Linked DNA regions of Drosophila melanogaster. The protein of the gene in region 2 interacts with the protein of the main gene of each other region in a pairwise test. Each region holds a gene or a part of one and is shown on either strand. Other genes may lie near its edges. The genes, in order: CG9192 and CG5070.

What was found.
Region 1: the proteins of CG5070 (region 2) and CG9192 interact in a two-hybrid assay, tested with the Drosophila melanogaster proteins (one large-scale study listed by BioGRID).

The regions. Positions count from the first base shown.
Region 1 is NT_037436.4:1,230,901-1,246,782, reverse strand, and holds CG9192 (uncharacterized protein), read left to right. Parts: upstream 1-8,463; 5' UTR 8,464-8,547; coding exon 8,548-9,483; 3' UTR 9,484-9,650; downstream 9,651-15,882. Other genes in the region: CG32318 (uncharacterized protein), read left to right, coding at 150-229, 296-710; Klp61F (Kinesin-like protein at 61F), read left to right, coding at 1,143-1,222, 1,289-1,589, 1,783-3,115, 3,181-4,391, 4,456-4,707, 4,792-4,815; galene, read right to left, coding at 5,301-5,506, 5,562-6,964, 7,029-7,155, 9,700-9,946, 10,006-10,212; CG33966 (uncharacterized protein), read right to left, coding at 11,550-11,807, 11,871-12,243, 12,309-12,610; CG33965 (uncharacterized protein), read right to left, coding at 12,818-13,078, 13,134-13,506, 13,560-13,879; mwh (multiple wing hairs), read right to left, coding at 14,372-15,881.
Region 2 is NC_004354.4:17,201,302-17,216,775, reverse strand, and holds CG5070 (uncharacterized protein), read right to left. Parts: upstream 13,665-15,474; 5' UTR 13,582-13,664; coding exon 12,952-13,581; 3' UTR 12,851-12,951; downstream 1-12,850. Other genes in the region: CG5162 (uncharacterized protein), read right to left, coding at 1-416, 781-1,040, 1,206-1,443; CG18258 (uncharacterized protein), read right to left, coding at 2,868-3,557, 3,732-4,448; CG12995 (uncharacterized protein), read left to right, coding at 6,815-7,336; CG32563 (uncharacterized protein), read right to left, coding at 7,767-8,062, 8,124-8,340; CG32564 (uncharacterized protein), read right to left, coding at 9,072-10,301; TTLL1A (tubulin tyrosine ligase-like 1A), read left to right, coding at 14,258-14,592, 14,644-15,223, 15,359-15,474.

The DNA.
Region 1 (15,882 bases), on a different chromosome or scaffold from region 2:
CAGTTATCAGCATTCGGCTCGGTGGAAGGTGAAGCACAAGGATTTCCAGGAATCAAACACACACACACACGCATACCGATACACGCGACAGGCGTCATTTTTTGGACTGTACGCGCTAAAACCACAATTAATTGTTTCAATTGATCAATATGGACATATCTGGTGGGAATACGTCGCGCCAGCCCCAAAAGAAGTCCAACCAAAACATCCAGGTGTATGTGCGCGTCAGGTGAGTTTGTATATGTAACCAAAACCCCTTAAAAAGATCTACATATATCTTCTATATCTTTTGTAGACCCCTTAATTCTCGGGAACGTTGCATCCGCTCGGCCGAAGTCGTGGATGTGGTCGGACCACGGGAAGTGGTCACCCGCCACACGCTGGACTCCAAGCTCACCAAGAAGTTCACCTTTGACCGCAGTTTTGGCCCCGAGTCCAAGCAGTGCGATGTCTACTCCGTCGTGGTGTCTCCGCTGATCGAGGAGGTCCTCAATGGCTATAACTGCACGGTGTTTGCTTATGGCCAGACGGGCAACAATCTGCGTCCGCCCAAGTCACTTTACATCGAGGTGCGCTGCATGGAGGACTATGGGAAGTTCGAGCTGGACGACGGCGAGGTGATCCACCTGAAGAAGAACAGCCAGCACTATCTGCCCCGAGCTCAGGTGGAGTCTCTCGTGAGGCAGGGCATTCTTCACCACATAGCCTAGTCGGGATTATTTGATAATAAGAGTTTACTATACATATTTAATGGTTTAATGTAGAACAAATAAAAGATAAAAAATTATTTAATTCAAATAATTTGAACATTCTGTAGTTTTCCAATACTTGTATTTTTCGATGTTGGTATTTTCAGGGTGCCGTGTTGCGGTCACACTATTTGCGCATTATTTTAAAATTGAACGGACAACTGAAGACGCTGCTTCTCTCTGTTCTCATTGGAAATAGTGCGAAAATTGGTTTTCCACGCCAGCCTTCTGTAAATAGTAGTTACAGTTATCAGCATTCGGCTCGGTGGAAGGTGAAGCACAAGGATTTCCAGGAATCAAACACACACACACACGCATACCGATACACGCGACAGGCGTCATTTTTTGGACTGTACGCGCTAAAACCACAATTAATTGTTTCAATTGATCAATATGGACATATCTGGTGGGAATACGTCGCGCCAGCCCCAAAAGAAGTCCAACCAAAACATCCAGGTGTATGTGCGCGTCAGGTGAGTTTGTATATGTAACCAAAACCCCTTAAAAAGATCTACATATATCTTCTATATCTTTTGTAGACCCCTTAATTCTCGGGAACGTTGCATCCGCTCGGCCGAAGTCGTGGATGTGGTCGGACCACGGGAAGTGGTCACCCGCCACACGCTGGACTCCAAGCTCACCAAGAAGTTCACCTTTGACCGCAGTTTTGGCCCCGAGTCCAAGCAGTGCGATGTCTACTCCGTCGTGGTGTCTCCGCTGATCGAGGAGGTCCTCAATGGCTATAACTGCACGGTGTTTGCTTATGGCCAGACGGGCACAGGGAAGACCCACACCATGGTGGGCAACGAGACTGCCGAACTGAAATCCTCCTGGGAAGATGTGAGTGAACAAAAATTCAAATCAAAACCATATCAACCATATCAGCGTAGGGCCCTACATTCTCACTTTCGCAGTTTAACCAAACAAAAAAGGTCTTTGCCATTCTTAGCCATCTGGCTCAAGGCCATCGAAACCAGTTTTTCTTTTCTAAGAATCGCTAATCTAACCTTTTCCAATTTGTCTTCCCGCTTAGGACTCTGACATTGGCATCATACCGCGCGCTCTGAGTCACCTTTTCGATGAGCTGCGCATGATGGAGGTGGAGTACACTATGCGCATTTCCTACTTGGAACTGTACAATGAGGAGCTGTGCGATCTACTGTCCACCGATGACACCACCAAGATACGCATTTTCGATGACAGCACCAAGAAGGGATCGGTGATTATCCAGGGCCTGGAGGAGATACCAGTGCACAGCAAGGATGATGTGTACAAGCTGCTGGAGAAGGGAAAGGAGCGTCGCAAAACAGCCACTACGCTGATGAATGCACAGTCCTCACGCTCCCACACTGTATTTTCTATAGTTGTGCACATCAGGGAGAATGGCATCGAAGGAGAGGACATGCTGAAAATCGGTAAACTGAATCTGGTGGATCTGGCGGGCAGTGAAAATGTTTCCAAGGCTGGGAATGAAAAGGGAATACGTGTGCGGGAAACAGTAAACATCAATCAGAGCCTCTTGACTCTCGGTAGAGTAATTACCGCTTTGGTCGATCGCGCTCCTCACGTTCCATATCGTGAATCAAAGCTGACTAGACTGCTGCAAGAATCTCTGGGTGGCAGGACCAAGACCTCCATCATAGCCACCATATCGCCGGGCCACAAGGACATCGAGGAGACCCTGAGCACTTTAGAGTACGCTCATCGCGCCAAGAACATTCAAAACAAGCCCGAAGTCAATCAGAAGCTGACCAAAAAGACTGTGCTCAAGGAATACACCGAAGAAATCGACAAGCTTAAAAGAGATCTTATGGCGGCCAGGGACAAGAATGGCATCTATTTGGCCGAGGAAACCTACGGGGAGATAACTTTGAAGTTAGAATCCCAGAACCGCGAGCTTAACGAGAAAATGCTGCTGCTCAAGGCTTTGAAGGACGAACTCCAGAACAAGGAGAAGATCTTCAGTGAGGTGAGCATGAGTCTTGTGGAGAAAACGCAGGAGCTGAAAAAGACCGAGGAGAACCTACTGAACACGAAGGGTACTTTGCTCCTGACCAAGAAAGTGCTGACCAAGACCAAGCGACGATACAAGGAAAAAAAGGAGTTGGTGGCCTCGCATATGAAAACGGAGCAGGTTTTGACCACACAGGCTCAGGAGATCCTAGCCGCTGCTGATCTGGCCACTGATGATACTCATCAGCTGCACGGAACCATCGAAAGAAGGCGTGAGTTGGATGAGAAGATTCGCCGATCTTGCGATCAGTTCAAAGATCGTATGCAGGATAATTTGGAAATGATCGGTGGCAGCCTGAACTTGTATCAGGATCAGCAGGCAGCCCTCAAGGAGCAGCTAAGCCAGGAAATGGGTAAGCTATCTACAGAAATCAATTTGTATATTATTGTACATAAGTAAAATTTTATAAATCTCCAGTAAACTCGAGCTATGTGAGCCAACGCCTTGCACTAAATTCCAGCAAAAGCATCGAAATGCTTAAGGAGATGTGTGCCCAATCGCTACAGGATCAGACCAACCTCCATAATAAGTTAATAGGAGAAGTCATGAAGATCAGCGATCAGCACTCTCAGGCATTTGTCGCCAAGCTGATGGAGCAGATGCAGCAGCAACAGCTTTTGATGAGCAAAGAAATTCAGACTAACCTGCAGGTGATCGAGGAAAACAACCAGCGGCACAAAGCCATGCTGGACTCTATGCAGGAAAAGTTCGCCACCATAATTGACAGCAGCTTACAGTCTGTGGAAGAACATGCGAAGCAAATGCACAAGAAGTTGGAGCAGCTCGGGGCAATGAGTTTGCCAGATGCGGAGGAACTGCAGAATCTTCAAGAGGAGTTGGCGAATGAACGAGCTCTGGCGCAGCAGGAGGATGCTCTCCTTGAGTCCATGATGATGCAGATGGAACAGATCAAGAACTTGCGGTCCAAAAATAGCATCAGCATGTCCGTACATCTTAATAAGATGGAGGAGAGTCGACTGACGAGAAATCATCGCATCGATGATATTAAGTCTGGTATCCAAGACTACCAAAAGTTGGGCATAGAAGCTTCCCAATCCGCACAAGCGGAGCTCACCAGCCAAATGGAGGCGGGAATGCTTTGTCTGGACCAAGGCGTTGCCAACTGTTCGATGCTTCAGGTGCACATGAAGAATCTCAACCAGAAATACGAAAAGGAAACAAATGAGAATGTTGGTTCCGTTCGAGTGCACCACAATCAGGTGGAAATTATTTGCCAAGAGAGCAAGCAGCAGCTTGAGGCGGTGCAGGAGAAAACCGAAGTTAACTTGGAACAGATGGTGGATGCAAGGCAGCAGCTTATCACCGAGGACAGACAGCGATTCATAGGCCATGCCACTGTAGCCACTGATCTTGTCCAAGAGTCGAACCGGCAGTTCTCGGAGCATGCTGAACACCAACGGCAGCAGCTGCAAATTTGCGAGCAAGAGCTTGTACGCTTCCAACAGTCGGAGTTGAAAACGTACGCCCCAACTGGGACCACGCCCTCCAAAAGGGATTTCGTTTATCCGCGCACCCTCGTGGCCACGTCGCCACATCAGGAAATTGTGAGGCGCTATCGCCAAGAGCTGGACTGGTCAGATCTGGACACCACGGCCACTATAGATGAGGTAACCTAAAATCCTTCAACCTTGTATGTTGAAAAGCACCAACTTTTATGTTTCCAATCCGTAGTGCAGCGAGGGTGAGCATGACGTCTCCATGCATTCCGTCCAGGAGCTGTCCGAAACTGAAACCATAATGAACTCCACGCCCATTGAGCCCGTGGATGGTGTCACCGTGAAGCGTGGGTGCGGCACCACCCGCAATTCCAATTCGAACGCCCTAAAGCCACCCGTAGCTACTGGTGGAAAACGCAGCAGCTCGTTGTCACGTTCCCTGACACCCAGTAAAACGTCACCTCGAGGTTCTCCCGCCTTCGTCAGGGTAAGTCAAGTGCAAGTCCGCTAATGACTTAACAAATAAAGGGTGGGGATATATTATCATTGCTTTTATTTTCAATATTTTTAGCACAACAAAGAAAACGTAGCCTGATTGCATTCGATGACAGTAGTAGTCTCCCCTTCCCAGTAACCCGTTTATGTTAGTGGATTTCGGATCGCTGTGTTTGTTTGGCTCTTCTGGATATTCATTTTATCTGTATATCAATCTTTGGAATTTCGTACATTTATTATTTAAATAAACTCAGTATGCTATGTAAAGTTAAGGAAATCTTTAGTTCAAGTGCAGGTTTAAGATATATCAGAAGGTATTCTTAAACTTCGATACTATTTTTTAGGGAAGAAGTGAATTTGGTTTTTTAATGATGTCATGCCTTCCAAGGAAGCGCTTTATAATTAATATAATCTTAACTATTTTACTTATCATATTCTCGTTTGTGAATTTAAATTTGTTGAAGTTTTTTTTCATAAAACATTTAAACATATTAAATATCCATCTTTCAAAGTGTGTTCCTTATAATTAGAGCATCCAACATATTTAGGAAAAAACAGATGTCATAACTATCTATCTATCTATTACTAATCCTCATCCTGCTCGTCGTCATCATCCTTAAGAATGCCCAGACGGCGGGCTACCTCCTTCACATTGGCAATGAACTCCTCCTGGACCAGGTTAAAACTCATGGCCAACAAGGCAATGCCGAAAAGAAGGTACAGCGAGCAATAGGCGATGGACTGCTCCGACTCGTCCTTGACTCCTTTCGCGGGGACAAAGTCACCAAATCCTGTAATGCAAAAGCAGATGAAAAGAGTGCGCAAGGAATTGGGATAAACACAAACCGATTGTTGTCAGTGTAATGAAGCAAAAGTAGGCGGAATCCAAGAAGGACCAGTTCTCCCAGTACGCAAAAAGAACAGCTCCGCCAAGGATGTAGCTCACTACCAGAAAGACGCATAACCAAATGGGGACAGGTCGATCCTTGGGCAGCAGATCTCCATAGTCCCCATACTCATCCCCGTACATAGAGTCATCGTCGTCGTAATCGTAGCTGGGTCGCCGACGGATTTGCCGCTGGACCGGAAATCCCATTGGTGACATGATTCTCGGGGAAGGGGGCAAACGTTCAGCCCGCTCTCTTCGGCGATTTCTTTTTGGTTCTCGACTCCTTGAGTGGTGGCGCTCAGGCGGATAATCCTCGTAGTTATTGTCTCCGTAAAGGGATCCCTCATCGAAGCTCTCTTCCACGTAGTCCTCGTAGCGACCCTGGGAGTGACCACGCCTATCCCGTCGATGGTCCCGTCCCGGCGGTGGAGCATCATAGTCGGGAAGTTCGAGATGGTTGCCATAGCGAGATGATTGCCTGCCCAGACTTCCAGCTCGTCTATCATGCTGTTGGCGATAGGAGCTCTGCGGTGGCGGCTGTGGAGATCGTTCCCGTTCTCTGTCCTTCTGGCGTTGCCTTTGGTGAGCAGATCTGGGCATGGATTGACTCCTTGGAGCTGCTTGTCTTCTGTTGCCCCCGAAGTCATCTAAAGCATACCTATTTGGTATAATTGGTGTTTTCCTCACCACGTCCTCGTCGACGTCTTCGTAATGTGAAGAAACGTGCCTGGGATCCACGGACTTGGCCCTACTTCTCCCAGGTGCCGAGTGAAGACGATGCAGTTCTCTGGACGCTTTGGAAGATTCCTGATTGTGTGGCGATCGAACCGATCGCACACTGGCAGCTCTTTTCGCAGGAGGTTGCATGTCACCGAAGTCCTCAATGGATCCAGCATCCAAGTGGGATCGAGAGTAGCGCTCCCTTTCTACCGTGTGTCTGTCCCTCATCCGATCCCGTTGTCTTTGCCGGCTACTGTAGCGGTTGGATCTGTTCAGGGTCTGAGTTTCGTACCCATCTCCGTAAATGGTGTGACGCTGGCGAGGATCGTGATGCAAATGCTGCTGCTGCTGCTGACGACGATTGCGTCCGCCTCCACTGCTCCGATGTCCGAACTCGCGGTCATCGTAGCCCCGGCCCATGGTGCGCAGGTCGGGATCTGAATAGGCATGACCCATGGAAGGACCCAGACCCGAGTCATTCCCAGACCGTTGGGTCATCTTCATGGAGCGCCGGAACGAGGGCGGCGGCTGGGATCGGGCATGGCGCTGAGAGCGCATCGATCTCTGCCGGGATCGGGCATTCCTCGGACGTTTGGCCGTGCGGGTGCACACATAGCAGCATATTCTCCAGTACAGAAACCTATATTGGAATATATGTATGAAAACATACTCATTTAGTTCTCAGCTCATCGATGTCAACTCACCGAAATGATGTGGCCATGACATCGCCAATGTTGGACAAGCAGATGAGCATCAGCGGAATGCCCACAATGGCGTAGAAAATCGTTGTCACCTTGCCCCAATCCGTACGCGGCGATATGTGACCATAGCCTGTCCAGAGAATGACAAGGAACACATAATTACTCTTTCGCAGATAGGTAAGATTGATTTTGAGTCACCTTTCACCTTCAACCTCGTGACCGCAAAGTTCTTGAAATACTAATGAATCTAAGACCCGCTAAGGCCCAATCCCCAATCCATATGTACTTCTTTTTGTTCATGCCAAGCCCATTATCGCTTCGAAATAGCAAACATGGCATTTCAAGTCTGCCGCTTTTGGCCTTTACGGAAGTGTGCAAATTCGTAGATAGCATTCTGTGCCCCTCTTCGCGGGGTTCTATCTGATGGGCGTCGGTCACTAAACCCATTTGTGTGCTAGCCGTAAATCCATATCGGGGAAAAGTGCAGACGAAAAGCGTAAAACTAAGCTCCCATCATCAACAGCCAGAGCTAATAAACTGATTTATACCAAATACTTCCACTCGAAAGCCGAAAAGTTGAATGCTCTAAGTGGGTTAAAGTGAAAAAGGTTTCTGTATACTTTTAAAGTAGGAGAGTTTATAGAGTTCTTGGGGTTTGCTTAAGGCCTTCGATTGAAAACCTTCCATGCACCACTTCCCCTTTTATGAGTAATCACTAATCACCAACACCCCCTGTGTGTTAGGGTATACTAATAATGAGAAATTCCCATCGTTAAAATCTAAAAATCTGAAATGCCAGAAAAGATAATCACGATCGGTCAGTGGCGTTTGACCTTGCTGTTGTTTTGACCACAAACAATTGGATGGCAGCAATCCACTTTTGGTTTCATTTGACACGCTCCACACACCCTCGCTCCCTTTGAAAGCCATCACCACCCGAATGAACCCATTTTTAGAGGTCAACCACGTGCTGGCTGCTCACCTGACTGTGTCCGAGCTGAATCTTTGACTTGTGACTCCCGCCCTGCAAAGGAAGCAAGCATATGTTTTCCAACTCATGGAAATTCCCAGGAATAAGCTTTTAGGTCGATCGGTGGTGGTCAATTACCGTGATTTATGCGATTTCAACGTGATCGCTGTGTGGACAAAACCAATTGTCCGACTCATCCGCTTGCCTCATTGGTTCCTGGGCGGATTGCGGTCTGGTCGCGCTTCAGGTGAATCAACGTGGGCCAAGACTTGGGCCACAGATCTCTGAAGATTTCTGTCTGGCACGATCGTTGATTCATTGGTCGGGCAGCCGCCGAATGCGAATACCTGCGGCTGCCCTCGTCGCTTGACTGAGTTTGTGCGTCGTCATCGCCGCTGATGTCTCTGGCGGTTGTATTTGTTTTTTGGTTCTCGGGTGCGGTTATATAAGTAGTGTGTGCCGGTCGCATTTTCGAACTATTCTGTTGCGGGAGCTTGCCGCGATCAAGCGCAAAAATCGGGTCAGTGTGTAATCGAACAAAGCGTGCCAATCATGCCAAGCTATTGCCTCATCATCGTCCTATGCCTTCTTGGATCAGTGGCGGCTAAGTCTTCGGATGGAGATCGAGATCAGTGGGTCTGGAGGTCCTACAATCGCAGGGAGCGCTCTTTTCGGGACATCAATCGCAGTTCCCCCATAAGGAACTCGTACGACGAAAAGCTGAGGCGGGAGCCCACGACTCGAAGACCTTTTCCGGGCGAACCGGAGAATGATGAGATAGAGGACTATGCCGATGTGGAGCCCACCAGGTCATCGGACACTCCCAACGTAGGCACCCGTCAGTTTAATCCATACGGTGGTCAGACCAATGCCGGACAGTTCGGAGGACTTGGAGGCTATAACGGAAACCCCGGAGTGCTAGTCGGACCTGGCGGACCCACCGGAATCATAGGGAGACCGCAGCTATACCCCACTCCCTATCAGCCAGGCTATGGTGGATTCTCTGGAGCTCAAAATGGCATTAGTGGATATCCAGGCGGATACGGAGGAGTAGGACAGGGACTTCCCGGAGCTGGATTCCCCGGAGCCAGCGTGGGTGGTGGGTTTAACAACTTCCCCAGTAATGGACTTGGCCTCAACCAATTTCCTGGCAATGGGCAATACCCTTACGGCTCCTATCCAGGTGGCGACTTCGGTGGAAGCCAATTCGCGGGCGCAGGTGCCCAGTTCCCAGGATTGGGACAGTACCCAGCAAACCAACAGTTCGGTGGACCTCAGTACACCGAGGGCTATGGTCTGGCAGGAGGACTGGGCTTAGGTCAACTTGGAGTAGGCAACGGTGGACTCGGATACGGTGGAAGTTTTCCACCTCTAGGAGGAGGCTTCGGCTATGACGAGAAATCGCCAGCTGTGGCCGATGGTAAGAGTGCTAAGAGTGTGGCAGCGTCACCCAGAAAAGTGAATGATAAGCTCAGTAAGAAGGTCTAGAGCTTCGTGTTTTAGAAGTGGAAGGTGTTATGTTAAAGATATGGAACTGAAGCTATTACTTTCCCACTCAACCCTCCTTTTTCCCTTAGGCTGAGTTGGAAGTAGTCACCTTAGTGTAGGCATAGTTTACGTATAGACTAAGCAAATAAATTCCCATGTTTACTCACACATGACTTTGAAGAACTCAATCCATAAGCTTAAAAAAAACATACTCACCTATGGTCGTTATCACAATAATCGAGTAGAACAGGGATCCGGCAAAGGTCCACTGGGACTTGCGCAGATCCTCGTCGCCATCCCAGCCGTCGGCCTTGATGGCCGTAAGGATTTGCTTTTCAAAATTGGCCAGGTGCTTGCTGACATTGGCCATCCAATCGCTTTCCCTTAGGACCACTGCGTCGTCGGACAGTAGCCAGATATTCTCCGTGAGATTAACGCGAAGATTCTGTATGTCTCGCTTCACCTGCATGGGGATTTTGGATTTTTAGCATTTGAGACCTTCCAGCAAAATCACCCACTCACCTCTAGTTCGTGGGGTCGTTCGAGATGCTGGAAGAGGTAGGCACCGCCCACGCAATAGGAAACCACGAGAAGCACGAGCAGCACATGGGACACAATGCAGGTGAGCACCTTCCACGAGAAGCAGATGGCAGCTACACAGCGTCCGCGTTGCGGCTTCGCTGGCTCCAACATGTGCGCCGGCAGAGATTGGGCCCGCCTACCCGACATGGTCACCCTCCTCTGGCCTCCTCCTTCCTTTGGCTAATTTGCCGCTCGGTTGGCTGTGAATTATGAAAGGCAAAATAAACTAAATAAAGGATGGGACGAAAATGTTTGGAGGTCGGCCTGGCAAATACCCTTAGAAATTGTAAATTGTTGTTGAGATGAAGAGTTGTTTGAGAGTGCCTCTCCGAAGTAATATATTGTAGTAACCTTAATGGGAATGCTACATAATGTTTAAAATTATGCCTGCGAATAAACACGCCTTCTATGGCGTTCGTTTCAGAAATCGTTGGTAATCTCCAAAGGAGCAATTACCGAGAAGCCAAAAGGTAAACCAGACAAAGCTCCACGGCACATATGTTTATTTGTCCAAATATTTATTTATTTGGGTTGCTGGGGCAAGGCCGAAGAGCCAAGGGGATCAGGTGCGGAAGACTCGACTCCATGAGACTATTTTGGGTGCCGCCGCCCGGCGGGGCATTCATCTCATCGTCAAATCTCGTGCCACGCCTGTCGAGAACTCTGCTGGTTCCTCTTGCTTATAGATGCGGACTACATAACATGTCCGAGCAATTATGAACTTCGATTTCATGTGGGCAATTAGCGCTGGTGAATTATGGGCCCATCGGGATTGGGCATTGGACTGCTGTTAATGATGATTACCGATCGCTGATCGCCTTCTGATTCGCACTGAGGAAAACTTTTCAGTTTTCCACATTAAGTTCCATGCTGTATATTTTGCCCGCACTCTCCCGTCTTCCGTCTAACAATCCGTTTCCGATTCTATATCCGATGGGATCCGTACAGAGAAAAGAAGCACCGATCCGTACGAGCCACAAATTCTTACTGCGGATCGCAGCTACAGATGGACTCTCCACGGATCGCTCGGGAAATTGGGTTTATTTTTGGTCTAACGCGAAGTTCTCTTGTCTTCCGTAGATATATAGTTTTGGAAAAACTTTTATTTTCGGCTTTTCTCTGGTCGTCGTTTGTTTTGTATTGTTTGGCTCTCTCAGTCGTCGCACTTTGTGTTTTGATTATGGTGTCTATCTGATTGAAGGAATCAATTAATCTGCTGCTACAGGTGGTCTAACTGATAAGCAATGCATGGACTTAATCTACAATTTTTAAATGAAAATCATAAACTCGTTAACGTGTAATTGAATATAAAATTAACTATCTTTATTACATGCTGTGCTAAGTTTTCGGCTTGTTTTTTATGCTCTTAGCGCTATGCTTATCACAAATCGACTGGTGTACAACCATTACCTTTGTTACCTTAGATAAGAGCTGCAGCTAAGACTATTTTAAGCAATTTAGCAGGGTTAGGAGGGCTTGACACTTCAGTCCACATTCAATTGCCGGAAGGAGCCCTGCAGACCAAAAAGACTCTCGAAGTCAACAGGCTGACCCACTCGGAGGCTTTCATCGGTTCCGTAGTTCTTCTCCTCCTCCCAGTAATTCCGGTAGGCTAGAATACGCTGCTCCCACTGCTGCAGCAGCTCCGGAATCGATCCGTTCTCCCCTCCGTATTCCACTGGCAAATACTGTTTGGGAATCTGATTGTAGAGTGCCTCCCATTTGCTTCCATGAACGTAGAGCTGGCGGTGTAAGAGAACTTCAATTACCTTCCAACTTTGCTTGGTGCAGTTGGGGTTACTTACGCGTCCTTGCTGCTTCTTAGACATCATGGGCTTGATCATATTGAAGATGGTGTCAAATCCGTTGGGCGTATTAATGAAATGGATTCCCTGCGGTCGCAGGGGCAGGGCCTCCTCCTGAAAAACGGTCATCTTCTTGGCGAAGGACGGTGACATCTGCAGGAAGTGCCCGGTGGTGACATTGGACAGATCCAGAATGGATATTAAACCATTCACAATGGCCACATCGTCCTCGTCGAGCATAATCTGCTGCATGAGACCAGCAGCTCGATTCACCTCCTGGAGGGTGTATTTGCTGGGATCATAGCAGGCCATGCGCAGCAGAGCCAATCGCGGGCCATTATCGTTTAGAGGACGTGGCAGAATAACTATGGTGCTGGAGAAAGATTAATGAAGTGGGTTAGACAAAACATTTCTGGGATTTGCATCTCTCCAGCTCACCCCAATCGGAATATCTCCAGTGCTTTGTCCACATCGACATTATGACCCAAATAAAACTCTGGGTACTTGGTGCGTAGTGTGTAGAACCTGTCGATCTTCGACTTGGTCCTTTCCAAACTGAACTTGCAGCCGCGCAGGAAGTTCACCAAGAACTGGTCATCTGTGCGGGCTTTCAAATGGGGTTGCTGCTTAATCCAATCCCTCAGGGCGGCGATGTCGTCATCCAACTTATTAGGCACCTCATTCAGGTTCTCAATCGCAGTCTTTTGGAGCTCGGGACTCAGTGGTCGGATGGCCGGCATCTTGTTCCTCTCTTCTTGGCGGTCGATGAACGAGTGTTGATTTTTCACCCAGTTAGTTTTGCGATTCGACCCGAAATCGATAAGGCTGAATCGACTGAGAGCTGATAGCCACACATTGAAGTAGTCGCCAAGAAGAGTGAGCTTATCGAAAACATTTATTTTAGGTTTATGGCCCAGGTAAGTAAGTATACAGGTATTTTAGCCGATTCAGTCGATGACCAACTGGCGAAAAGAGCCATCCACGCCAAAGTGACTCTCGTCTGGGTTCAGCACTGAGGCTTCCTCGCGCAACTTGTCATGGGCTCCGAAATGCTGACAGTCCTCAAAGTAGCTGCGATAGCTACAGAGCTTTGCCTCCATCTGGTCGGTGATATCCTTCATGGTGCCCTTTGAGCCACCGTACTCCTCAGGAAGATAGTGCTTAGGAACTCGCTCGAAAATAGCTTCCGGATCGGAGCTAACGGAAACCTAAAAGAAAGGGAGTTGTAAAGATATTCATATTCCTAGAACTGCACTGTCCTACCCTCTCCTTGATTTTTCCCGGAAACCATCCAAGCAGTGATTTAAAACCCGTCTCGAATGCCTTGGGCACATTGATGAAATGGATTCCCTTCTGACGCGTTGGCATAGCCTCGTCCGCATAGGCCGAGAATTTGCTGAGAAGTTGGGGTTGGAGGGCAAACAGATTTGCACCCGTCACTCCACTCATGTCCATGATCTCCAGGTAGCCACTGACGGAGGCATTGTCATCCTCCAGCATCATGATCTCACCGAACATGGAGCCCACACGTATGATGTCCTGGAACTTGAATTTATTGATGTCGTAGGAGCCAGCTCGAATAATAGTCACGGCTGGTCCAGTATCCTCCTCATCGAGGGGAATGCGCAAGATCACTCTGCAGGGATAGAAATATTTGGAGTTTAGAGAACGCAAAGTGGATTTACATACCCCAGTCGAATAATTTCCAACACCTGGGCATTGTCAACCAATCGCTGATCGTTGAAAACCTCCGGAATGACCGCTTGCAGGCTATAGAATCGATCAATCTTCTGCTTGGCCTTCTCCAGACTAAACTTCGATCCCCTAAGAAAACTAAGCAGGAACTGATCCTCGAGACAGGCGCAGAGATGGGGCTGCTTCTGTAGCCATTCTTTCAGAGCAGCAATGTCCGATTCCACACGACTTGGCACTTCGTTCAGCTCTTCGATGGCCACTTTTTGCAGACCCGGCGGCAGAGGCCTTATGGAATTGGGAGAACTTCCACTCATTTTGGCAGCGCTATCAGTTGCAGACTAACCAAATGCACTTCCAACTGGTCAACACTTTAAATACTTAAAGCGTAAAGCGATAAGATCCGACTAATCTCATAAGTGATTAGCAGGCAAGAAAACGTATTACCTTGACTATTAAGTATTTGATTTGCCGATTTATGTACTCGGCTGCCATTAGCCAAAAGAAGGGTTTGATTTTAGTTTAAGAACTTTATTCAATGGAAAATAATCAATTAGGCTAGACATGAACTACGATACTAAATCTTACTGGCTAGATACCCGGTTGAAGCTGCCACCGTAACTAACCTAGTCTGGGCTGCAGTTATCTCGAGATGTTGCATAAGAAACGTGTTTATAATGCATGGAAATACCATTAAGTGTTCTATAAATACGGTGATCTGATGGGCTGTTGTAACCTAGGAGTGGGTTGCTATTGCACAGGAGCTGGAGAGTCTCTGGAATCTCTAAGAGTATCTTGTGGAGTATCGCTTAGTAGAGGCCGGATGGCAGATCCGTGACCTTTGACATGGACCCCTGGGTGTGGGATCGAGTGCGGAGGGTTGGACCCTGAATCTGCCCACCGCTGGAATTGGCGAAGCCAGAGTGATCGTGCATCCTCATCGCCAGGTTACTGGTGAAGTATATCTGCTGATTGCTGCGTGACTTCTCCCTTCCGATGGCTGCTTCGTTGAGGGCTTCCGGATGCGCTGAGGCGAAGGCCGCCTCCAGGCGCTCCACGTTCTTGGTGACTCTCCTGGCCTGCAGGGCAGCCGAGATGTCTGGCTTGGGATACTTCTGAGGTGTGTTCATGCCGGTCATGAAGAAGACCCCGTTAAACTGCTGGGCTGGCGGAGTCGGAGGCGGTGGTGCCGGTGCTTTGACCTTCACCGGGTGATGGGGAATTGTCACGGGCGCCGCATCCTGGACACTTTTCCGCAGGGCCTGCATTGTGGGATCGTGATCGTCATGCCGCGCATTCATAATCACGTCCAGCAACTCTCGATTTGTGCTCGCATTGTACGCCGTGGCCGTGGCATTCGCCTCTGGCATGTCCGGCGTTGGTGATTCCATTTGGTAGGCAGCAGGCTGATCTGTCTCTGGAGCATCGTAGTCCACTTCGTCGAAGAAGCTTTGCATGGCCGCTAGTCGCTCAGCGGCGTCGGGATCTGCTGGTTGGTGTAGAACCATTCCATAGTCCGATCCCTCCTGATCGGAGCAATCGGTGCGGGGCACCAGATGTGCCAAGGACCGAGATTTTCTGGGAGGCTGTGGTACGATGTTAACCGGCACAATTTCCTTCTCGACCGGACGATGGTGGCGCATCTTTGGCCGTGTTACACTGCTCGTCTGGCTGCTGATCTGCTTTTCGGCCTCACTTACAATGTTGTCCAGCTCCTCGATGACATCCTCAATGGTAGCGGCATCGTCCTCATCCTCCTCGACAACCTTTCGCGATGGCTTCGCCTTGGAGGGAAGTATCAGAATGGGCACTGGACTCAGGGATGCACCCGTCTCCGAACTGCTGATGCCCTCGTCCTCGTGCTCCGAACTGTTCTGCTTGTTTTTCTTGGGTGGTGGTACCTGACGAGGAAGGGCCACTGGCTGATGGGAGGACTCAACGGGCTTGAACTTAGACTGCTGCTGCGTGCCCTGCAGCCGGAAGATCTCACGTTGCAATTCGGCACATCGCTCTTGGAGTCGCCGCTCCATGGACGTCAGCACGGCCTTCTCCTCGTGCAGAATCTGAACCCTTCGCTCGAGAATCACCATTTGGCTGCGCACCCGCTCCGCATCCCTTGCCCGGGTTATCATCTGGTCCACGTCAATATGGAGTTCGTTGAAGCGCTTCACCTCGATCTTCAGAGCATCCAACCAGGGCGAAGAGGAGGAGATGGTACGAGCCAAGGTGCTGGCATCTAATCCCGCCTGGAAGAGCTCAGCCTGGATGTACAGACGCTGCTGAATGCTTACGGCGCTCTCAATGAACGTGTTGAGAAATC
Region 2 (15,474 bases):
TGGGCACAGGTTACCGAGAAACAGCCCGCCGCAAGGGGGCTCATTCCGCCCGGATAGAAGTCCACATCGCCCACCGGATCCCGCTTGCCCAGCACCCCGGGATTGCTATGGATCACATCGACGAAGTGGGCATCTCCGCGCATCAGACCAGAGAGGGCTTCACCCTCGTTGAAGCACGGCTTGGCCGGATCCAATCCAGTAATCCTGGGTATCGTCTGATTGGTCAGGTGTTGCAGGTGCCGTCCCGCCGAACCCACAATGTGGGCGCCCAGGCTATGGCCAATCAAGTGGATATTCTCCACCGGCACCAGATCGAGAAGCTTCACCAATCCGAGGGCGATGTTCTCGCCAATCTCCTCCGTATTGAAAGCCGACCAGGTGTACAGGGTATCAACGAAACGAGCAGCATCCACCGCCTGTAATGACATATTTTTAACAAATTACCCTAGATATATGTACATATATGCATAAGCTGTGTATTATGCCAGTAGGTGTTAGGATATTCAAAGTATAATGAGAACTTTAAAGCCCGTGGTTTTAATATTAGCATTAATTTGAATGCGCAATGTGAAAAAAAAATATGTAAAACATTTACATTAAATCCGGAGCTAACGAGTTGAACCTGCTTGTGAGTGTATTTAATCTGATCTGAACCTTATCAGTAGGAAAACTTAATAACAATAAATGTTTCTGTGACAAACTTGTTTCCTCTATACTTATTTATTGATTTATTGGTTTAAGTGGCATATTTCAACCTTAATTAATATAGATTGTACTTACCACAAAGTTGACATCCCCACGGCAATTATAGGCCTTTGAGAAGACTTCGATGGTATCGGAACCATTCACGGTGGTGGTCCATCCGGTGGCCAGAATGACGACCTTCTTCTTGACATCGAAAAGCGGACTCTTCCACATGGACTCCGGACTTGTAAGTGGGAAGTTTTTCTTTTCACACGCCGTTTGCAGTTGGAAGTTCATTTTATTGATATCCGGCGAGTATTTCGACTTGATTTTGTTTGAAGCCAGCGCCTGGGAGCCTGAAAATATTTTTGAAGTAATTTATTTTAAGCAGTTTTAATTTTTTAAGATAATTTGTTTTAGAATGACTATATAAAATTGTTTATTTAATAGGTAATGTTTATTAATCTAAAAATTCTGCATTTAAAAATTATGTGTTTTCTAGAACTTAAATAAATACTCACAAATGACGTTCAGGGAGTTGGAGACGAACTCGAATGGATATCCCGCGATGAGCTGCTTGCTGCCTTCGAGGAGTCCTTGGGGTGTGGGCAGAAGACTGGGATCCACGATGCTGGTGCCCACATTTCCGATGGAATTGATCACATCCGGAAGCGACCACTCGATAGCGTGGATGGAGGCCACCAGAAGCTGGAGGAGGAGCGCGAGGAGCGTGTGCATCTTTGCCGGAACTCGTCCCATCCTGGACACAAACTCAACGAGAACTGAATGCCGGAAGCCAAATCACAATTGTTTTTATAGCTTCCAGAGGGAGGGGCTCGCGCGACAAACACATTGCCTTATATGTATATATATATATATATATGATTCCAGTCAACTGTGACCATATCGATGTGTGTTCCGATCAGATAAGGTGCACTTGTCACTTAATTAGTTTCCATTTCCATTTCGATTCGTCGCCTTCGCCACATCTCGGCGAGAAATCGAGAAATCCGGCCCGGAGCAAACTGCAGTCGCATGTCCCGATCTCATCTGCATTTATTTTAATTCTAATCGAAAACTAAAGCAAATCGGACGGCATTAGCACTGAAAGATAACGCCCTGTTATGCAGTCAACGGGGCATCCAGTCGACCGGTTAAACACCCTATTACAGCGATTATCAGCTACAAAATTTGACCTCTAATTCAATTGTTCTCATACACCAAAAACAGATTATGTTTTAATCTCAGCAAACAAATGGCAAATGGTCTTGGAATTCCCCAAAATTTTCTTGATCCCCACCATCGCCACGTGCAGTTTTTAACTGATAATGGCATAAACGATCTTTCAGTTTACACAATTCCTCACTCTACCGACAATGGCCCGTGCCATCAGTAGTGTATCAAAAAATACACTGGTAAATCATATATTTAGAATAAACTTATGTATATAAATAATAAAAAAATATATACATAATAAATGAGTTAAATAATTTAAATATTATTTAATTACATTTTTATTTATCCTAAAGTATCTATATAAACAAATTTCAACAATCCCACTTGTGGGTTTTTGTTTCGCAAACCTTTTATTAAATTCTGATATCTCTTTTTTGTTTCTTATCTGCTCATTTTTGAAATTTAAAGCTCTAGTATGTAATGTTGCAGTGTAAGGTCAATTCTCACGTACTTAACATCAAATAGTGCCTCCGGTTACGACAACAGGGCCATATTAATGGCCATATTAATGCGGACCCATTGCTCACCACTTATTTCCCATTCCGTATTCCCCCATTACGGCTCCCAATCTCCAAGCCATTGTCATTCCGTCAACGTGCCCTGGACAATTTTTAGTGTGCCCCAAACAAAAAGACGTCACAAAAGAATTAACTTGGCGTTGACATCAGCTTTCGGCGATTTCTTACACAAATCACGGAGCTCTAAATTCTCCGGAAGAGGGAGGGGGCGGGGGCTCAACTGGGACTTGTCCTTGAAATTATCAGGTAAAATCTCTCAGCGTTTACGAATAATATTAGATTACTTTGGTTGATATAGGCGTTGTAAAAAGGTACAGATTATGTAACATCAACATCTTAACAATATAACATAAGACTTTGCTGCGGATAACAGTTTTTTATTGCGTTTCGTTTTTAATAATACTACTATAAGAATACATGTACGAATATTCATGATGCACAAGATCCACATTTTGTGTCGGAGTTTGTGTAGCTCTGCAGATTGGCATTTTGGCCATAGGGCTCCTCTGGATTGGCGCCCACGTAGAACAGGCCCAGATCCGTGGCCTTGGCGGCATAGCCCATCACGGTATTCGTGTTCTTGCAATAGTTTCCGAGAAGGAGTTCCGAATAGCGCTTACATCGCTTGGCCAGGAAGTCATTCCCATTCGACGGATACACCGTTTCCGTCCAGTAATCCACGGCTCTCTGATGCGAACAGCTAATGGGGTCAAGGCTCTCGCATCCCGGCTTGAAGGGAATCCGTCCCTGGACAAAGAAGTCAGCATCGCCGGCCCGCTTCGATGTGCCAAACATGCCGGGATTGGTGTGGATAATGTCTACAAATCGGGCATCGCCACTCCGCAGACCCTCCAGCTCATTGCCATCGTAAAAACATGGGTTAGCCGGATCCAATCCGGTGATTCTCTTCAGGATTTGTCCCCCAGACAATCGTCGATAGTTTCTGCCCGCTGAACCGGCTATTTGGGCGCCCAAGCTGTGACCCACCAAATGGAACTGTTTGGTCACATAGCTCGTATTCAGCCGGAGGAGCGCCTTGGCCAGATAATCTCCAATAACCTCTGTGTTCAGGGCAGACCATGTATACAGGGTGTCTATGAAGTTCGCAGCATCTAGAATCTAAATAGAGGTGTATTTGTAATGACTTGAAAGTGATATACTCAAGGTAAATTGTATGTATATGAGGTTAACTTTTTTAAAGATAAATATCTCTCTCTTTTATTCTATCAGTATGTTTTTATATTTAATGAAACTTTTTATGCCTGTAGATGAATAGGTTTAATACCGACTTACCAAAACATTGGTATCATTGCGACAAAGATAAGCTTTTGCCACGGGACCACTATTGGAATTGTTAATGCTCGTTGTCCAGCCGGTGATGAACAAGACAGTGGGTCGATCCTGATAAAATCCGGTAGTGTTCCATAACTGCTCCGCCTGCGTCAGTGGAATACTGGTATTCTGACAATCATCACTCGATCGAAGCAGAAAACTCATACGCGACATATCCGGTATTAGCTTGGACCTCACCACTCCGAGGTCCACAATGGTGCTGCATATATAGTTCAAGGTGGAGAAGCCCAAGTCCAGGGGCAAGCCAACAACGAACTGATTCAACTGATCCTGTAGGCGATTGAGCAGCGCTTCCTGATATGAACTCGCTGGCCGTGCCAACTTAAGACTTTCAGAATCATCCAATCCTGTCATTGTGTTCTCGGCTTTATTATTCAAAGAAATTAAGCCTTCAGTTGTCTTATTCCTTAAAACATCCGCATCCGGCGAACTAGAATCCTTTAAGGCATCACGTGGATCATGTTCGTTTGAGATGTCAGTTTCGATGGCATCTGTATCCTTTGAACTTTCCGCATTTTGCGACACGATTAGTTTTAATTTATCAGACTTCGAAATCTCTGGAGTTAAAGAAGAGGTCATCATCAGAGAATCAGTCTTAATGGACTCAGAAATCCCAATCAGCACCACCACCAGCACCACTGCAATCGAAGAAGACATGGTAATCCGGAAGGTACTGTAAAAACACCTACACATGGCTGGCCTTTTATACGAAGGCTAAGTGAGATAAATATATATATAAATATATATACATATATATACATTTCTTTTCATTCATTCCAAACAAAATTTATCACTCTCCGAGCTAAAACTTTTTATTCTAAGACACGAATTCACGATATTGGCCACCTTCCACGTGTCCGAGCCTCACGAACTACTTGGTCTTGCAAAATCCAGGTTGCAATCGCAAAATTTCCTCGCAAAAATTTTGCGTTAGGAAATGTTGCATCGACTGCCAAAAAGTGAGCCACCTAATAACCACATTGCACCGCTCCCAATTACTCACCGCCCCCACAATCAACAAAAAGCAAAAAATACAAAATTATGACAAGAGGTATTCGAGTGGCTCAACTATGAAATAGTTCGAGGAAAACACGTATCCATGGTCGAAAAACTTTCGTCTACCTGTTTCATACTTTCTAACGAAACTAGTATACCCCCTTTCTCAAAGACTAAGGGGTATCAAAATTAAACACAAAACAAGCGGTGCTATTACATTGGTAATTTGTGAGCCCGACTGGTGGTGTTGCTGCTGCTGTTCGTTGATGTTGCCGGCACGCAACCCGCCAGAAACTAGCAACTATTAACCAGCAACTAGCAACCAGCAACATGGAATAAACAGCGGCAATCAGAAGCGCCAATAGCCCAAATGCGAGTGCTTCCAGTTGGCCATTTGGATGGTGGATTCACAGATTAATACTGCCCAATTATTCACACTGGCCGACTTCGAAGAAATGCCGAGCTACACCCAAAGAAAATACCCAATAAATGTCAATCCTAATGGGATAGTATAATATACCATAGAAGCAACTAACCATTTAAAAAATTAATTTTTTAATTATTGTGATAAAATAAATATTTATCAGTTGTTTCATTTAATATTTATAGTTTTCAAAATATAATATTCTCTCTACTTCCTGGGCTTTTTTCAGCTTATATTCTCAGATGTCTTTCGATAAAGTTTTGTTACTAGTATTATTTGTTGATTGATATTTTCTTGACTTTTTTTACTGATTCATATATTATTATTCATTTAATGAGAGCAGCCGAACTTCGCTACAAACCGATTTTCTTAGTTTTTGGAAATTTATTCGCACATAGCGCGCTGAATTGACGGCAAATGTTTATATGTACATCGGTAACGGTTTTGTTTCGCTTTTCCACCTTTTGCAATCTTCCAGGCACTCGTGCTCCATATATGGAGTATATAGCACCCATATCTTGTTGGGAATGGGAATATTGGTGAGTATGTCAGACGCATGGAGCTGTGGGTTTTTTTAAAAACTACTGGCGATCGAGCGCGGACTTCTCGCTCTGCTGGCTTCTTGTGCTTTTAATTGCAGTAGAGAGACTCATGAAATCGAAATCAATTCAGATTGCTCTATATCCATTAGACTATAATTTGGAGTTAGTTTGAGTTATAGATTTATGTAAGACTCGCTGATGATAAGTTAAGAGAGAAATATATAAAATAAAAGACTTGATAAACGGATGCTGTTCTTAGAGAATATTTTTGGCAATGTATTTAAATCCTTTTCGTGATTTAATAAATTTGCGAAATATGTTTCAAATAAGTTTGTACTCTACATCTTTGACTATTTTATATTTATCAAATATAAAAGTACCTATCCAAACAGTTTCTCAATGAGTTAAGTGCACTTTTTGGCCACTTTGCACAATGGACACATCTCACTGCATTGTTTGGCCCGATAAATATACACCTTCAACTCACATACTCGTATATGTGAATGACTCTTTATATTTGCCATTCTACTTCCACTATTTGCTGTTGATAAACCCAATTAGTTGGCCTGTGCCAAAAATCTAGCGAGCTTCCGCCTTAAGTGCAAATAGGCGGAGGGTTAAGGCCCACAGGGATGCCACAGATGACGCAATATGGTCCATATACCGAGAACGGGCCTAATGGCCAAAAAGCCAAAAAATAATTGAGAAGACCAAAATTATTACGTATACGCACCATTGCAACAGGCTTTTCAATGGCCCCGCCACTTAGACGTCGACGTAATGCGGAGTAAGTGCAGCAAATTATCAGCTCCAGCCGAACGAGCGGCCAGCAGGCAGATGTCCGTTGCAACATTTTTTTTTTTCTGTGTTTTTCGCTTTTAGCCAAACAAAACAAAAGACTGTGTGCAAAAGTCGACGGAAAATGCAGGAAAATGCGGCATGTATTTGCGGTCGAATGTGAGTGCTCCGAGCATATAAAATCCAATGCAGTTGGTAGCAGTAAATTAGTTGACTCGAAACATTTCGCCGCGTCGGTTAAAACACTTCTACCACATCCAACCATGTTCACCTATCGCCTGAAACTGATGATCCTTCTGGGTCAGCTGCTGCTAGGCATCCAATGTTATCCTTTGGGGGATGATGTGTCCTCCAATGCAGTGGTCCATTCGGCGGGACTTTTGGGCCACTACGCCGGCGGTCTGACTGGCGGCGAGGCCTTGTCCAAGCTGGACTTCAGCTCATCTTCGCACGAATTCGGAGCCTCCGCGGAGGCGGATCACTTGGGCTCCCTCGGCGATCACCTGGGCGAGGAGAGCTTCCCGTCAGATTACGGCAGCAGCGATGCCGGCGAGGAGTACGCCGAGGCCAGCGAGTTGCACTCCCACTACGAGGACCACAAGGCTGTGCCCGGCATCGATCATGGCAAGGGCGCCTTCAGCTACAGCACCCTGTACGAGTTCAAGGATCGGGATGAGCACGAACTGCACCACATCCAGCACCAGGCACTCGAACAGCAGGTGGAGCACCAGGCGGAGCACGACCACCACCTGGCGGAGCACCACCAGCTGGAACATCTCTACTAAGACTGTGATAGTCGCACACAAGACCTATCAAAATGCTCAAAGATTATATTATTATAAAAGTGTTTTTTTTTTAACGATTATTAAAATAAATGTAAGTTAAATTGAATTGAAAAGCTCTCTTGGGGGCACAACCTATAAATAAATATGGTCAAGTATTTATGAAAATTTAAATAAGTTAAAAAGATGTCCTGGATTTTAATTAATTACAAAATCTGCATGTTTAAAAATGTTACATATTTAAAAATTGTGTTTTTGGCACACATATAAATATTGTCCATGCATTCGTCAACCTTAAAAACCAATATATTTTATAGCAATTTTATTGAATAATAAATTGAAAACAAACAAAAAAAAACTTAACTTAAAGTAATAAGACCGCCGAAAAGTAGTTATTTATGATAGTTTATAAATTGTTTCGCAATGAACCCATTTAGCGGCCGTGGGAGTGGACAACTTGATGCTGGGGCAATTTGAGTTGCGAAAAGTCCACATTATCATTGACCACGATGCGGGGTTCGTGGATCGAAGGTATCGAAGGTATCGATGGAATCGATGGAATCACTGAATGTGGCAAATGCGATGCGGTCAAGGTGTCCACATAGTAATGCGGCCAGGGATTTCCCAGTGACATGGAGTACGAGCTGGGCACCAGCAGCAGATGGGGTTGTTCCGTATCCGGAGCTAGCTGGAGTACACCTGAGCTGATGTGTATGGGTGGTCCATAAGCTGCAGATATAATAAAAACACAAATAAGGGAAGTACATCAAATAGCGTCGCTCATACGCACCGTGGCTCGCCGGCTGCTCCTTCTCCACAGCATGACCACGTACTAAAGCCGCAAAAACTATTGCCCAAATAAACAATTGCACATTAAGCACCTGCATTTTGTTTGGCCGATTCTTCGAGGGGATCACAGCTTTTATATGCGCCGGCGAACGGATGTTCTTGGTCTTGGATGAACGCCCATCGGTGACGATTTTGGATGACTGCACCTCAAATCGCATGACACTTAGCCGATAAAGATCGTGGAATCTATTAGAATTTTTCATAGATACTTTGATTCAATTATTCAATTAATATGAAATATAGTTTGATTTAGTCCATCATTGTTTATATGTAGAGCTTAATTCATTTTAATGCAAGCCTAAAAGATTCTAAAAAATTTTAAAGCAGGCATATCAAAGGTATATGATTTTTTTAAATGTATATAAACATCTCCCACACAATTTAGCAATTTGATTAACATTTTTTCTGTTTATTAGAAAAAAACCCCCAAGCACATACTATATTCAAATGCAAATCAGAACCCTATAAACCAGAATCTTTCTGTCCCTCGATCTTAACCTTGTTCTCAGGGCCCTCTCCGCGATCTCTTCAGATCCGGAATTGGAATATGAATCGCAACCGATTCGTTGGGAGTTAGCAACTTGGTGTTAATTTGGCTAAGAATCAATAACACAATGAACCCTAAAAAATCCCAAAAAAAAAGATATATGCATCTACATACATATAAGCTAACAGACAGACGAATTTGACTGAGGTATTGGCGATTACATAAGAGTATAAAGTTATAAAGAACTGATATCGGGTATATTGATTTATTTTATGTACACATCGATCGAACAAAAAAATAAAGGTATTCGTTTTAGAACTAGAAAAAAAATAGTTGAGTACGGTTAGGTTAGGTTAGATTTTGGAGTCCTTGAGTGGCTTTGAGTTATGGTTACATGAGCACCTAGCAGCCCACCAGCTTCTCAAAGATACCGCCACGCTTCCAGCCGCCATTGAATCCACCTGAGAAGCCGCTATTGGAACCGCCATTGTAGCCACCGTTGTAGCCACCGTTGTATCCACCGTTGTAGCCACCGTTGTATCCACCAGCGGAAGCGGCAGCGGAGGAGGAAGCACTGGAGTAGCTGGACTCCACCGCTGGTGGTCCGTAAACCTGGGCGGGTGCACGATCCTCATCGACGATCAGCTTGATGGTCTTCACCACCTGTTGGCTCTGTGGCTGCGGGGCGTAGGACACGGGAGCAGGGGCGTAGCTGATGGGAGCTGGAGCTGGGGCTGAGTAACGCACCACTGGAACTGGAGCAGGAGCGGAGTAGGTTACAGCAGGAGCGGGACCGGAGTAGGTCACAGCGGGAGCGGGAGCGGAGTAGGTAACAGCGGGAGCGGGAGCGGAGTAGGTAACAGCGGGAGCAGCCTGTACTCGCACCACAGGAGCGGGGGCAGGAGCGGAGTAGGTCACAGCTGGAGCAGGAGCAGGAGCGGAGTAGGTCACAGCTGGAGCAGGAGCAGGAGCGGAGTAGGTCACAGCTGGAGCGGCCTGAACGCGCACCACCGGAGCTGGAGCAGAGTAGGTCACAGCTGGGGCAGGAGCAGGAGCGGAGTAGGTCACAGCGGGAGCTGGGGCAGAGTAGCTCACAGCGGGTGCAGGAGCGGAATAGGTCACAGCGGGAGCTGGAGCAGAGTAGCTCACAGAGGGAGCGGAGTATGAGTTGGCGCTGGCGCTGGACGAGGCACTGGACGAGTATCCTCCATAGTTGCCACCATAGCCAGAGGACCGTCCGTAAGAGTAAGAGGGCTGCTCCACCACCTTGATGACCTTGATGACCTGCTCGCCACCACCGTAGCCGCCGCCATAACCACCGCCATAGCTGCCTCCATAGCTGCTGCTGCTGCTGGCGGAAGAGGATGAGGAACTGCCGTATTCGGAGTTGTACACCGGTCTGCTGGGCTGGTTGTAATATCCCTGATTGTAGCCGCCGGAGTATCCACCGCTGCCATAGCCGCCTCCATAGCCACCACTGCCGGTGGAGTAGCCACCGCCGCCGGAGCTGCCGCCACCCAGACCGCCGCCAATGGCCTTGAGCAGGGCCAATTTGGCGCCCAACAGGGCATCGGAAGGAACTGGTGCCGAAAGGGCCAAAAGGGCCAGCGAAACGCAAACGTACAGCTTCATGTTGATACTGGTGATGCTAGTGGTGCTACTGATGCTGCCGGCAACCTGAACGAAACTCAACTGATGTCCCAAATCGAGGCGAGGCACTAATTTATAGCCGGCCAACAGCCGTGTGCGTTTGTGTAGTTCTAAACTATGTTATGCTCCCTCCAGTCAACGAGATGAGATGCCCCGAACACAGATGTTTGCTTAATTCATAAATGGTTACTTATGGGCCAAAGAGACAAGACAAGCCAATACAACCCAAGACGAGTCGGCCGGTCGAAATGTATTCCAAATCTGGGCGGGGCCCTGAGCCACCGGCTGTCTGGCTGTCTGTTCATATGTCACCTCAACTACTTAACCATCAAGTGAGATATTTTCTCGCATCTACCGGCACGGCACAAAATAGTTGAATAAATCTACGGCCCAAGAGCGTTACGGATTCGCAAAAGGTTCGGGTAATTCCCCAATTAGCACTGAGGGAAATATTTGGAGCTGTTAACGTGATATGATCTGAAACGCAGCTTAAACTAGAAATTCATATTAATATGGATCCAATTAGATGAAGGTAATATCCCTTCATCTAATTGGATCCATATTAATATGAATTTAATATTCAAATATTTTTGTGCCTAAAAGTGCAATTTATTATTTCTCTTTCTATAGAATGTGAACAAACGTTTGGGAAATTCCACCAGTTCTACCATGCAATGCGAGTTGCATTTTAATTTTCTGATTCATATACTGTCCCAATTTGAATCATGCTGATTTGAGAGAGTATTTTATTATATCTGATCGATAGCAGTCATATTTCAATCTAGCAGTAAATGAAAATACATACCCTTTTATTTATAAGTTTGTAATTCGATTTGTAAGCCAAATACTTACCTGTGTAGTACAAATAATGCAATTTAATGAATAAGTTTAAACCAAAAAAATTTTAGTTAAATAATTCATATTATTTAATTTATTTTTTTTTTCGAAAATTCGCTTTACTATTTCTCGCAGTGCACACTGGCACATGTGCGTGGCCAGCGTATTGGCATTGTCACTCATTCAGCCACCGAAATCGTATGCATGACTACACGTAGTCAAGGGGCTCAATGGGTTGGAGCCTCGCCAATATCCAAATATCCAAATAGCCAAAATCCGAAAATCCAAATAACCCAAGCACGCCCAGAAATCTTCGCTCATCTCGGATTTCGACCCGAAAACCTGTCCACGTCCACGTTTTCTGACGTATTCCCTCCCAACTCAGATCAAATATTACATATATGTAAATGTCGCTTTTTTGGAACCTTTGTATTTTTTCTATTGATCTAGACAGATATGCAAATTGGGTCACCAAAAAAAAAAATAGACAAGAACCCTCCAAATATGTATGTTTGTTCCATCTGGCGAAATTTTCTGTTCCCATAATTCGACAACTGGTTTTTTTTTGGTAGCACGAGAGTATCGTAAAATTCATTTTTATGGAAAGATGCGTGGAATTTTAGGCAATTTTGCAGCATAAGCAACTAATTCTGAAGTTTATACTTTTTGTATTTTTACAAAAGTTTCAGACAATCACAAGCGAAAAATAAAACAAGCATAACATTTTAAGATAGTTGCTAAACCCAATTGGATGTAGTAAACGAATTACTTATGTATGTATATAAGAATTTATATTTAAAATTTTTAACATTAACTAAGATGAATGTTAACCAGCTTAAAAGTATTAAAGCTTTCAGGTTCTTGCTGTGTTTTCTACTTGACTAATTTTATTTCATTTCTATTTTATCTTCAAATTTCTTAGCATTGCAAATATTAAATCATTGCCAATTTACACATTACCATTTACATTTTAGTTGAAGTGACTGCGACATATGTGGCTAGAGTTGGAGATGGAAATGAAGATGGAGCTGGTCCAGCTCAACCAATTTGCACCCATGTGGCATACAGCATTCTCGGTCGAACATTATATTTTTTTTTTTTGGGCTTGGCTCTTGTGACTTGACTTTGACTTTGGCTTTGCTTTTGGTTTTTGGCACTTGATTACCATTAACAGTTTTCTTGGGCTCACGATCTCCAGTTCGATGGGCAAAGAGAAGCTTTGGGGGGGCGGAAAGGGTTAAAGCCGGCTAACTGAGTGCGTAAACAGCACTCAACTCTCGTTTTCATTCAGAGGCCCAAACCGAAGGTCACTAGGATTGGGTGGGCCAATACATTTTTTGGGTGGTGGCTCTTCAAATGGGTGCGAACTCTTTTATTTTGTAATTGTCAAGCAGTAAATTGCAAAAGCAAAAAGTTACATCGCGGCTTATAGATCTGTATATGTATAGAGTATAGAACTTGGAGGGGTTTGTTTAATGTCATTTTATTTAGCACACTTTTGGGCAGACAAAATCACTGATTGTATTCTATTTCTTCCACATATTTGCTGCTCATTTATTGAGTTGCATAGGTTTATGAGCTTAAAACGAACTATTATGTTTATAAATATTTATAACAAACAAAATATTCATTATGTATAGTATTATTAAAAGATTTACTCTTGGTGAGCTCAAAAAAGCAAACACTATTCTCTTCGTTTATACAATTTATTACAAATCGTTAATTTTTAATTACAAATCGTTGTTTAAAATTATCAAAAAAAAATAACCACTTGACGTTGTGGCTTCGTCGTTCTCTAGCAGAGTCCTCCAGCCAAGCCAAGTGGTGGTGGTGGTGCACCGAATCCCAGTCCAAAGCCGCCGCCAGCGCCATAGCCAGCGCCATAGCCGTAGGAGGCGGGAAGGGCAGCACCACCGCCGAAGGAGCTTCCATAGCCACCCAATCCTCCGCCCAAAGCGCCTCCGAATCCGCCAACATAGCCGGCTCCACCGGCCAGGACAGGAGTGGCAACCGGGGTGGACACCGATGTGACCACCGGTGTAACCACGGCGGAGGTGGATATGGCAGGCGCAGCGCCCACAAAGCCGCTGGAATAGCCACCGCCATAGCCGCCAGTGTAACCGCCGCCATATCCTCCACCATAGCTTCCGCCATATCCTCCTCCGATTCCACCTCCTGGCACCACCGATACCTTGATCACCTTCACCACGTTCTCGGGAGCGTATCCATAGCCGGCGCCATATCCTGATCCATAGCCAGATCCATAGCCGTAGCCAGAACCATAGCCGCCGCCATATCCAGATCCATAGCCAGACGTAGTGGCTCCGCCCAGAAGAAGATTAAGCTTGCCAAAGGTGGCTTCTCCCGGCTTCGCTAGGGAAACCATCGCAACTACTACTGCCGCCAATCCCAGGTAGAACTTCATGGTGATGTAATGTGTATATCTTCGATTCGGTGTTCCTGCTAATCCACAAAATCCACTCTTGACTTTGCCGCGTCGACTGATGAACTCTGGTGACCATACCATCGACTTTATACCCAGCCAAGTCGAATTGCTCGACAATAGTGCGCGATTGTTCTGTACCAAAACCCGCAATGTGTGAAATTACTCAATGGGTTTTGGAGGGCCCCCTGTTCCGATGGCAGGTGAACTAGTGTCACAAATATTTGTGTCAAAGTCAGATTTTTCACTCTTTGCGATCTTGTGGTTTCGCAGAAGGTTTGCTTTTAGCTAGAATCCAAGAATATAACGCAATTTTTGGGCAAACATTGCAGCTTCAAGGGAATTAGCACTTTCGTTTTCTTCCCGGGGATTATGCAAGCGGATCTGTTGCCGGAAAACAGTCAGATTTTTTTCATCAGTTGTGGGAACAAGTGAATTAATATTGTAAACCATTGACCATACAGCTGGGAAATAAGTATGCTCTCTGGAACCCAAGGTCCTATTCTTGAAAGGTTATGGGCTTACTAGATGCCAACGCGGGGGCATCAGCCAGGCCATAATTAAATTGTCAGCAACTGAAGTACGATCGCTTCAAAATTAGGCAAAATTCTCAGTTATCAGCATAAAGAGGGGCAGTATCTAAAATACAACCACCCAAATGAGCACGCGAAGACAGACCAGTCCTCTGAGGAATCTTCGCCAGAAATGCGGCGGCAGTTGCACTAGTGACGATGACCTGCCTGAGGTCAAGTTAATCACCCAGCCCATCAATGGTCTGCATTACATCCGGAATCGACTGAGACCACCGAAATCCCGAAACGGCATTTACTACAGCACAGATTGGGACAAGTCTGCGCTGGTCAGCAATTTCCAGAAAAGAGGTTGGCTACAGGTGCCCTCCTTTAATGGCGAATGGAACTTCTATTGGGCGTGCACCCAGAATTGTCGCTACATCTTCGGCATCGATCATCCATATCGCATGCGATCAGATCAGTAAGTAGTGGTTAGCAACTTTTTGTCTAACCATCTAAGATCTCACCGCAGAGTCATTAACCACTTCCCGAACTCCATTGAGCTGTCGCGCAAGGATTTGCTAATCAAGAACATCAAGCGCTATCGCAAAGATCTGGAGCGACGTGGCGATCCGTTGGCTCAAAGCCATCCACCGGATACGAAACTGGGCATAGGCGGTACCCGTTACAAGCACCTGGACATCATACCCATGACCTTTGTCCTCCCCTCCGATTACCAAATGTTCGTCGAGGTCTTCCATCGCAATCCGGCCAGCACGTGGATAGTGAAGCCATGCAGCAAGTCCCAGGGTGTAGGTATCTATCTGGTCAACAAGTTGTCCAAACTGAAAAAATTCGCATACGATGCGCGCACCTTCTATCCGCAAATCAACCGGGACACCTGCGTCATTTCCAAGTACATCGACAATCCACTGCTGATCGGCGGCAAGAAATTCGACCTGCGACTCTTCGTCCTTGTGACCACATTCAATCCGCTCAAGGCTTATCTCTATAAGGAGGGTTTCTGCCGTTTTTGCACCGAGAAGTACGACGAAACTGAGATTGATAACGTGTTTATGCACTTGACGAACGTCAGCATCCAGAAAACGAATGTAAGTAGCCAAGTCCGTGTACGTAAGAGTACATAAGTCCTAAGTCAACATTGCAAATAAGTGTGTTTGATAAAAAAAAAAGCGTTTTGCGCCCACTTAACATTTGCTTTATAAATGTTTTACTCTAATATCTAGCAAGAGTACAATTCCATCCATGGTGGCAAATGGCCACTCCAGAATCTGTGGCTGTACTTGGACAGCCTGCGAGGCGAGGGCGTTTCGGATATGCTGTGGAGCCGCATCACCGCCAC